Linked DNA regions of Solanum lycopersicum. The protein of the gene in region 1 binds, or shares a complex with, the protein of each later gene. Links are inferred from orthologs where the notes say so. Each region holds a gene or a part of one and is shown on either strand. Other genes may lie near its edges. The genes, in order: NAD(P)-binding Rossmann-fold superfamily protein; NADH dehydrogenase [ubiquinone] iron-sulfur protein 7, mitochondrial.

Region 1 (4,516 bases):
ACTTTCAATTTAGACTTCAATAAATTTACTTCAATAAAAGAATTTCCCGGAGAACTATCTTTCTCCTTCTAAAATTCATATTTGTCAATAAAAATATAGAAGAACTCATAATCATATGAAATACAAACAGAAATCTCACAAATTAACATTTGGTGAAAATGTACCTTAGGTTTAGAACATTTATAAAATCTTCTTTCGGATTTCATTGAAGTCTTTGAAGTGAAATAACAAGCCATTTCACCAAAAATAAGTCATCATCATGGAGTTACTAATTGAACCACAACTACTTTCAAATATGGTTTTAGGTCTAATTGAAGGGAAACGACGAATCGATGAGAATCAACTAAGAAAAGTCGACGAACAAACAATGCAAACAACGAAGAATCTCTAATGAACTAGGGTTTTAGTTTTTGAGATGAACGAAAGATTTGAGAGGAGATTTTTTGATAGTATTTGTGTTGTGTGAGTAATAGATAAATTGGGTAATTGACGGGTATTTGAATTTTGGGTTAAATAATTGGTTAAACCAGATAGAGTCGTAGTATTGCGCCACTTGTAACAAATAAGTCTTTCGTTACTGGATGGGCATATATGCACGAGTTATTTAACGATAAGTGCACTAATAAACGAAAAATATGAAGGAGAGTATTAATATACTATTAACAATAATTCCGGTAAATTTGTCCTTTTCCCAACATATATTAAAAGAAATTATGAAGAAATTAAAAAGAGCATTTTTCACATATAGCAAACATAAAAATTATATTTGTAGGCTATAGTTATAGTTTGTATAATTGTGCACATAGTAAACATAAATATGTATATTTCGCTATACATATACAAAAGAAGACAATTGTAGATAATCTATTTCTGTTTCGGTATACATATACAAAAGATCAATTGTATAATATGTGTTAGTATAAAGCGAGAAAGAGAGCAAGACAAAAGAGAATTGAGTAGGAAAATATTTGCATTGTATAATATAAGTGTATAGGACGAAGATGTATGTATTTGCATGTGTATATATATACAATTTTCTCTTGCTTTATACAAACAGAAACACAATTTATACATTTTTGTTTGTATAAGTGAGAGAGAAGAGCGAGCTCTGAGAGAGTAACGAGCGAAATTCTGAGAGAGGGGAACGAAAATATATGTATATATACAATTTTCTCTAGCTCTATAAAACACAAACACGTTTTATACATTTGCGTTTGTATAAAAAACGAGAGAGACGAGTGAGAGAATGAGAATGACGAGTGAGATTCACCTAAAGAGACAAACTATTAACCATTTACTATGAGATACAATTAAACTAAACTATATTTATAACATTTAATTTAAAATAATTATTTGGTATTATATACGATTTGCTAAGAAAAAAAGGCAAATTGAAAGGGAAGTAGTATTAGAAATGAGGTTCACCCAATTACTAGAATAGAGTTGACAAGTTAATACGTATTTTACTTCAGCCAGTGCATCTATTTTTCCCCCAATTCCCTTAACAGCGCCGATATCAATCAATCTTCTCCCATTCTCTGTGAGCTCGAGCTCCGCTGAGAACGAAGATGCAGGCCATCACGAGAAAACTAGGGCACCAATCTTTGAAACATCATTCGCCTGCCATTTCATCATTCAAGTCTCTCTATCCTCTTTCTGATGATCACTGTATGTAGCTTATGCATTTCTAGGGCAACTCAAGTTTTTTTCCTTTTCCTCCTCTACAATGTCGTGATCTCTTATCGGATTGTGTTCTTATTTTGTTTATGTTTTTGTTATTTCAGACTATGGTTATCTTACTCCGCGCTACGCATCTAACCTTGCCACCGGGGGTGCGGGACCTCTAATTCGTAAGGGAACTGGAGGAAGATCATCCGTTAGGTAAATAAATTTGTTTTGAAAATCTTGTTCACAGTCGTGTAAGATGGTACCCAACTCGTTGAGATAATGGTTTGGTTAAATTGGTAAGTTTTCGAATTAGGTTTTGAATTTGCCAATGTTGGGATTTGATCTCTAGATTAAGAGAACTCTTTATATTAGAAGTCAAATGATTAGTAACTGGAATAAAATGGGCCTGGATAGAGCAAAATGAGTAGAGAGATTTTATATAGCTGCCTAACTAGTTTGGGATTGAGGGTAGGGTGATAATTGTTTAATCTTGTACTGTTCCACTAAATTTGATATGTCATTTGCGTTTCTTAATACTGTGTGAGTGTAATTCAAAGTTGTGTTCTTTTGCTTATTGGTTGGCCTGGTGCTTCTGGTGCTCTTTATTTTAAATATCTACATGACGAGTCATAGATTTTGTTCATTTTTTGTTTCTTTTTTATGTGTGCAACTTGAATTATGTATTTTTTGAATTTATATGGTTTTTGAATCTGTTGTTTGTCAGTGGAATCGTCGCTACAGTCTTTGGAGCTACTGGATTTCTGGGGCGTTATGTTGTACAACAGCTTGGTAACGTTCTAATGACCTTCTCCTTTTTCCTGTACTTACTATACCAACAAAGTTAAAGAATTTTTGAGGTAAATGGTACTTGTTTTCTGTTATTTGGGGATCTCAGCTAAAATGGGCAGTCAAGTCTTGGTTCCTTTCCGTGGATCTGAGGATTCTCCTCGTCATCTTAAGTTGATGGGTGACTTAGGACAGGTATGTTAACAGCTGTGCTCCCCTAGTCAAACTTACTTTACTTTTGTGATCTGATTTATTGTTATCTTCTGATGTCTTTGAGCTTCTCTTAAACAAAGACATGAGTTATGAAAGCATTCTCATTTTTATAGGGGTACTACCTCTCTTTGTTTATTTTGCCTAGATTGTTCCTATGAAATACAATCCCCGGGATGAAAATTCAGTTAAGGCAGTGATGGCTAAAGCTAATGTTGTGATCAATCTCATTGGTATGCCTTCTACCATTTTTAATCAGTGATCCATAAAGATATCTTTACAACTATTGTCGGTAAACTTTCTGGTTTCCAGGAAGGGATTATGAGACGAGAAATTACAGCTTTGATGAAGTCAACCTCCATATAGCTGAACAGCTTGCAATGGTAGGTTCTGCTGTTATATTGCCTTTTGCTTTACCTAGATTAGTTAAATATAAACTGAAATAATCTGTCTCAATCTTGAAGTTCAAAAAGAAAAAGCTTTGTCTCAATCTTGATATTTCATCCAGTGCATTATTGGGGTTATTCTGTTTCTTTTCTTTTGATAATTAAGATGTTGTCCAATGTGTCAACTTGTGATTTACGATACTGAGGACAATCTAAAGTTAATACATAAACTTATTACAACTCATTCTGTGGTTTTCTGAGGATTGTATCATATGTGTTTCTCTTTATTGAACATGTGGTTCTCAGTGTTGTTTATCTTAACCATTATTCTCAGTGTTGTTTATCTTACCCTTTTATTCTCAGTGCTGTTTATCTTAGCCTGAGTTTTGGTTTCACTTGGAGAGCCCTACCAACTTTTTGTATGTCATTGTGCATATAACTGATTCAAAAAGATAAACTTCCGTGTGAATGAATGTGCAGACTGAGAGTGCATTTACCTATCTGCCTTTTTTTGCTAGTTTGTGCAAAATGAGACTTCTTTCAACCTAGATAAGAACATGAATTTTCATTTAGTTACATTTAATTGGTGGGATTTGCATCATAGGAGTATTCTGGGGATGATAAGAGTGATTGTGATATAAGCTTTGCCTAGGGGCCAATGAAGTTGGTTGAGAACCATTTGGTCTCAAGTTCAAATCTTGGCAGTAGCAGAAGTGCATAAACACTTGGTGATTTCTTCCAATATGTCCAAGTCTTGGTGGATAGAGTTACCTAATACCTATGTCCTATAGGAGGTAGCAGGTACACCATGCAATCGGTTGAGGTGCTCGCAAGCTGCCGAGATACTCCAGTTACACTACCATTTCATGAAAACAATTTTTTGGTATTATCCTTTCATAAAAGAAACTAAAAACAATCTGTAAGATATGTATACAGAAAATTTGTTGATTATTTTATTTCAACTGGAATAAGAGTTCCCTCTATCCACTTTATCCCTCTATCCTGATTCCTGTCTATCAAGTTGACAATATTCAATCCAGTGTTTTGGACGGCGAGAGGCGACAAAAGGCGACAAGGGCCTGCCTCGCCACGCGGCGAGGCGAGCGGCGAGGCGCTTGCCTTTTTGAATTAAGGCGCCAATTAATACCAAAGATTAAAAATATTTAATTGCATATATAAATATCCAAAATCTTAATAGTAGTAACACATATTAGCAAATATTCAATTCAAAAACCAATAGTAGTAAAACTTTAAAGACCAAATAATTCAAAATACAATACTAAAACTTAAAATGTCTATTCTTCTTCAAAACTATCCGACTCTTGAAGAAAAGAAGTCAAGAAGAACTGAAAAGATCAAAAGAAGAAGAAAAAAAAGAGGTATACCTCAGGTCCTCAGTGCAGCAACAACTCGAAGATGATGGAGAACAAGAGAAGAGATGCGACCGGCAAATTTTGACAATAGAA
Region 2 (4,431 bases), on another chromosome or scaffold:
TAAACAAACATGCAATTTACACAAACCCAATGATCAACTATGAAAAATAGCATAACCCCACATAAAATTTATCAAAAAAGGAACAATTTTGGGATTAAAAATATCAGACAAAGACCTGAAGGAGGAGAGTTAGGAAGAGACAAAAAGCCACAGCAAGCTCGAGAAGTAAAAGAATGGAGGTGGGTATGAGACGGGTCAATGGATCGGGCTAACCCGTCACCGTACAATACCAGTGCTCTGCTAGGCTTATCTGCCATAATCAATCAAATGTATTGGAATTGATGATAATGAAGAAGAGAGATGGATTGCTTGTTGATTATACTGAATAAAGTTTGCAACTTAGGGAGAAAGAATCTAACTTTTCCTCCTTTTTTTTTTAAGAATATTATTTAATTTAGTGTGTTTTAGATTGAATTATTTTAAATATTTTTTTTGAAAAGACGAAAAGTATTTTTAAGTTTAAAATGACAAAAGTGATTCTTTTTAGCTTCTAAAGCTAGTTTTAAGAAGCTAATTCAAACACTTTTTAAGTTTATTTTAGTATCGTAATAATATATTTTATTTGTATTTGGGGAATATAAGATAGAGTAGATTTTGTGTAAATCTCGTGTACATGTTTGAGCTGGTAAAAACATTATGTGTATAGTGTGTTTTTACTTTAATATTTGATGTCGAAGTAATTTTATAATTGTGAAATCTTAAACTGTATATATTGATATAGTTAATTGAACGTTTGTATATATTGTATACAACATGATCATATACATTGAGTTATCGATTTAACGAGTTTTTAAGCGAAAAAGTTCAAAATTATCTAAGTTTTTTATAAAATTTTTTTGAATTTATGTGTGAATGAAGAATTTCGACGTTCATATGAGAAACAAACTTATGATACATACTCTTAATCAATGGTTATGATTCAATTGTCATATATGGTCAAATATAAAAAGTAAAATTGATTACTTATATAATCGAATGTATCATATATATATCTACAAGCAAAATGTAAATATATGTATCAGAAGTCTATTTCTAAAACAAATGTGGTGCATACAATATTCACGTATTAGAAATAGACTTCGATGCACACAATTGTATCAACAATTACAATAATTAATTCGTTGAAATACAATCAAAACAAAAGAATGTATACAATCATATAACTAGTATATAGAATACATAGATTCCAATGAAATTGTATGTATACAATCACATAACTACATCTATTTATAAATTTTACTCCGAACGAGAATCTTAAAATTATTTACAAACTAAAATTTATAATCAAACTCTTTCTAACCCAATAATTATCAAATGAAGGCCCAAATATAAAACCTTAATAGATTGGAAATCCCAACTCTAATCTCGATTTGGGGTCTAATTTAAAACTTCAATTCCGACTCTGACTTAGACAAAATAGAAAGAAAGTACAATCTTAACTCTATTTTGTAGGATTAAGTTTATATTCAATTAGATTATTTACTCAAAGAAAAGTAACTAATGCATAAAAAGTGAAAAAAAAAAAAGAGACAACAAAACATCAATGTACAAAGTAAGTCCAACAACATATATATTACTACACATTTGAAGAAAAATAAATTACAGCAATACCATATCAAATGCATTCCAACGAGTGAGGCTCGAAGAAGGTAGTGTATACACATATTTTATATTTTACTTAAAAGAAAGGAGAGGTTGTTTTCTTGTAGACTCTCGATTCAAATCAAATGAAAAAGATTATAACAATAATAAGTAGGAAAAGGTAAAAAAGAAACTACCCGATACATCTACTACGACCATTACGAGAAAACTGCACTATCAGTTAATCTTCTATCCTTATTCTCGACCTCATTACCTTCTTGTATAAGATTATATCCTCAATCCTCTAAAATTATGTCATATCTTATCTAATAATGTCTTCGATGGACGATTATTTATGTCAATTCTTTTTGCAAAAATTAGGTAAGGGCCCAAATATGAAGCCCAATGGAAAATATCTCTCAAGCCCAAAGTATAATATCTCTCAAGCCCAAAGTATCAATAGACCGGGTTATATCCATCTACAACCGGGTATCCATATCCACTGGTAACCGTTGGATCAGTTCCACGTGTCCCGATCTGTATTATTCAATAAATTAATACTGTGTATGTATTTCTCAGACCAATCGCCGCCTCTTTCATTGTTCTTCTCTTTGGAATTCTCCAGAAGCCGGAGTTTCACCGGAGAATAAGAAATGGCGTTTATAGCTCGAAATGCGAAACTACTCACAGGAACGGCGCCGTTCCTTCAAAGGGCGGCGACGATCCACACGACACTTCCATCTCTCTCGCAGCAACCTGCCTCTTCTCCGGCCACTTACGGTGGCGCACAGCCTCCGTCCATGAATACACCAGCAGGGATATCTAAACCGGCTGAGTATGTTATATCTAAGGTGGACGATCTGATGAATTGGGCTCGTCGTGGGTCCATATGGCCCATGACTTTTGGATTGGCTTGTTGCGCTGTGGAAATGATGCACGCCGGAGCTGCACGTTACGATTTTGATCGATTCGGTATTATTTTCAGACCTAGCCCTAGGCAATCTGATGTTATGATTGTTGCTGGTACACTTACCAACAAAATGGCCCCTGCTCTTCGCAAGTATGTATACATTCTAACAGTTAATCCTCTTTTAACGTTTATCCCATACATCTGTTTACGAAGCATATGTTTGTCTATATTTGGATCCTATTTTTCCTGTAGAATTGGATTTGATATAAGCGCATTTAGGGAAATCTGATTGTATTTTTGTAATATCAATCGATTGGTTTCATGAAAACCTGTTTCGTTCTTCTCTATTGCTATGTTTCCATCAAGTGCAACAAATTGAGGATAGCATGAGATTTTCCAATTCGCTTCATTTAATCTGATTATTTGGATGTTGGTTTCTTCTCTGGCATAGTCTCCCACTCTTCCCTTTGGTATGAAGGTTGGCATAGTGTTATTTAAAACTCGTCTTTTGGTGGAGTGGTGGATTTTGGTGTAGTAATAGAAAAACGAGGTTCTCGAGCATTGTAGCTATAATGTATAAGGTAATAACGTGAGATGTAGAGGAAACTTTGTCATGCTTTGAATGATATTGGTAGAATGTTTTAGTAGGACTCAGAATGAACATAGCTCACAGGAGCAGAATAGATCATCACCCAGTGGGATGACAATCAGAATAATCTTGTATATGATATAACGCAACATGTGGCTTGCCAGGTTTCTTTAAAGTTTTGCTGTTAACGTTCTAGGAACCCTGATTAAAGAACATGTGGATTTTTTGTGAGAACATACTTAAGAATTTGTATCCGATTTTTCAACACACAAAAATGTTGAAATCATCGCTCGTCTTTTAATGAGTGTTCATGTCAATTATCGAAAATGAGTCTTCCCCTATTTTAAATTCTTGTTGGTTAAATAAGGTATCAAAGGGGCGAGCATTTTGATTTTTGTACCAAGGAAGTTGCGTATTTATTATCGGATTAAGAAATTCGGAGATTGTTTTATAGATAGCATCCAATAAAGCTTCAGACCCTACATATGGGATTACATTAGGTATATTGTTGTTTTTGTAACCATTCAACATAATGAAGACGGGCAATTGCACATAAATATTAGCAACATCTTTTGTGTTTGGTGTAATGAGTAATGACTATAGCCTGCCCACCCAGTAGTGGTGTCTTTTTGTTTTTGCAATGGTCAGCTAAAATAGTCATTTGATTATTCATATTGATTAAAAAGACATGTATATATTCTTTGGATTGTTTATTTCCTTAACTCTTTAGTTTTTGTTGGTATTTAGTTAACAACAAAAACATACCCAGTGCAGTCCTACAAGTGGAGTTTGGAGAGGTAGAGTGTATGCAAATTTCACCCACGAGGTAGAGAAGTTGTTTCCTAAAGATCTTTGGCTCAATGGCTCAAGAGCAACAAATGAAAGTTGTTATGAAAAGAAATACGATAGTGAGGAAAACATTTAATTGATAAGGAAAGCATTCAACAAAAAGGACAATAACAACGATCATATAATGCGGTAATTTAAACATAATAGACAAGAGAGGGTAGCAAATAGCAAAAGCAAGAGATTACATGTCTATGACTAGTACTACGAGAAACACGCGCTACCATACTTCCATCAAGTCTAATTCTGTTGAAAAGCGAGATAGAACTCAACTACCTACTGACCTTTTATGACCTTCATACCCTTCTATTTAAGGTCATGTCATTGGTAAGTTGAAGTTGTGTGATGTCTTGTCTAATCACCTCTTTATACTTTTTCGATCTACCTCTACTTCTCTTCATATCTATTATATCCAACCTCTCACACCTTTTTACTAGGGCGTTTCCGCATCTTTCTTTTCTTAGGTCCAATGCATCTCAACCTTGCTTTTCTCTTTGTGCGCCAT

What was found.
Region 2: the proteins of NAD(P)-binding Rossmann-fold superfamily protein (region 1) and NADH dehydrogenase [ubiquinone] iron-sulfur protein 7, mitochondrial are in contact, whole or in part, in a cryo-EM structure (PDB 8BEE), measured with the Arabidopsis thaliana proteins. The link is inferred for Solanum lycopersicum from reciprocal best matches to the Arabidopsis thaliana genes AT2G20360 and AT5G11770. Residues at the interface, in NP_565469.1 of Arabidopsis thaliana: Arg100, Gly101, Ser102, Glu103, Asp104, Arg107, Lys110, Leu111, Lys122, Thr151, Arg152, Asn153, Phe154, Pro330, Phe331, Pro332; in NP_196738.1 of Arabidopsis thaliana: Arg140, Glu148, Arg150, Trp151, Asp176, Arg177, Ile178, Val179, Pro180, Val181, Asp182, Lys205, Arg208, Arg209, His214, Trp215, Trp216, Asn217, Lys218.

The regions. Positions count from the first base shown.
Region 1 is NC_090808.1:58,530,910-58,535,425, forward strand, and holds the start of NAD(P)-binding Rossmann-fold superfamily protein, read left to right. Parts: upstream 1-1,414; 5' UTR 1,415-1,568; coding exon 1,569-1,668; intron 1,669-1,784; coding exon 1,785-1,881; intron 1,882-2,392; coding exon 2,393-2,457; intron 2,458-2,563; coding exon 2,564-2,649; intron 2,650-2,812; coding exon 2,813-2,897; intron 2,898-2,976; coding exon 2,977-3,047; intron 3,048-4,516. UniProt on the Arabidopsis thaliana protein: Accessory subunit of the mitochondrial membrane respiratory chain NADH dehydrogenase (Complex I), that is believed not to be involved in catalysis. Complex I functions in the transfer of electrons from NADH to the respiratory chain.
Region 2 is NC_090810.1:60,011,075-60,015,505, forward strand, and holds the start of NADH dehydrogenase [ubiquinone] iron-sulfur protein 7, mitochondrial, read left to right. Parts: upstream 1-1,537; 5' UTR 1,538-2,234; coding exon 2,235-2,641; intron 2,642-4,431. Other genes in the region: uncharacterized protein, read right to left, coding at 116-257. UniProt on the Arabidopsis thaliana protein: Core subunit of the mitochondrial membrane respiratory chain NADH dehydrogenase (Complex I) that is believed to belong to the minimal assembly required for catalysis. Complex I functions in the transfer of electrons from NADH to the respiratory chain.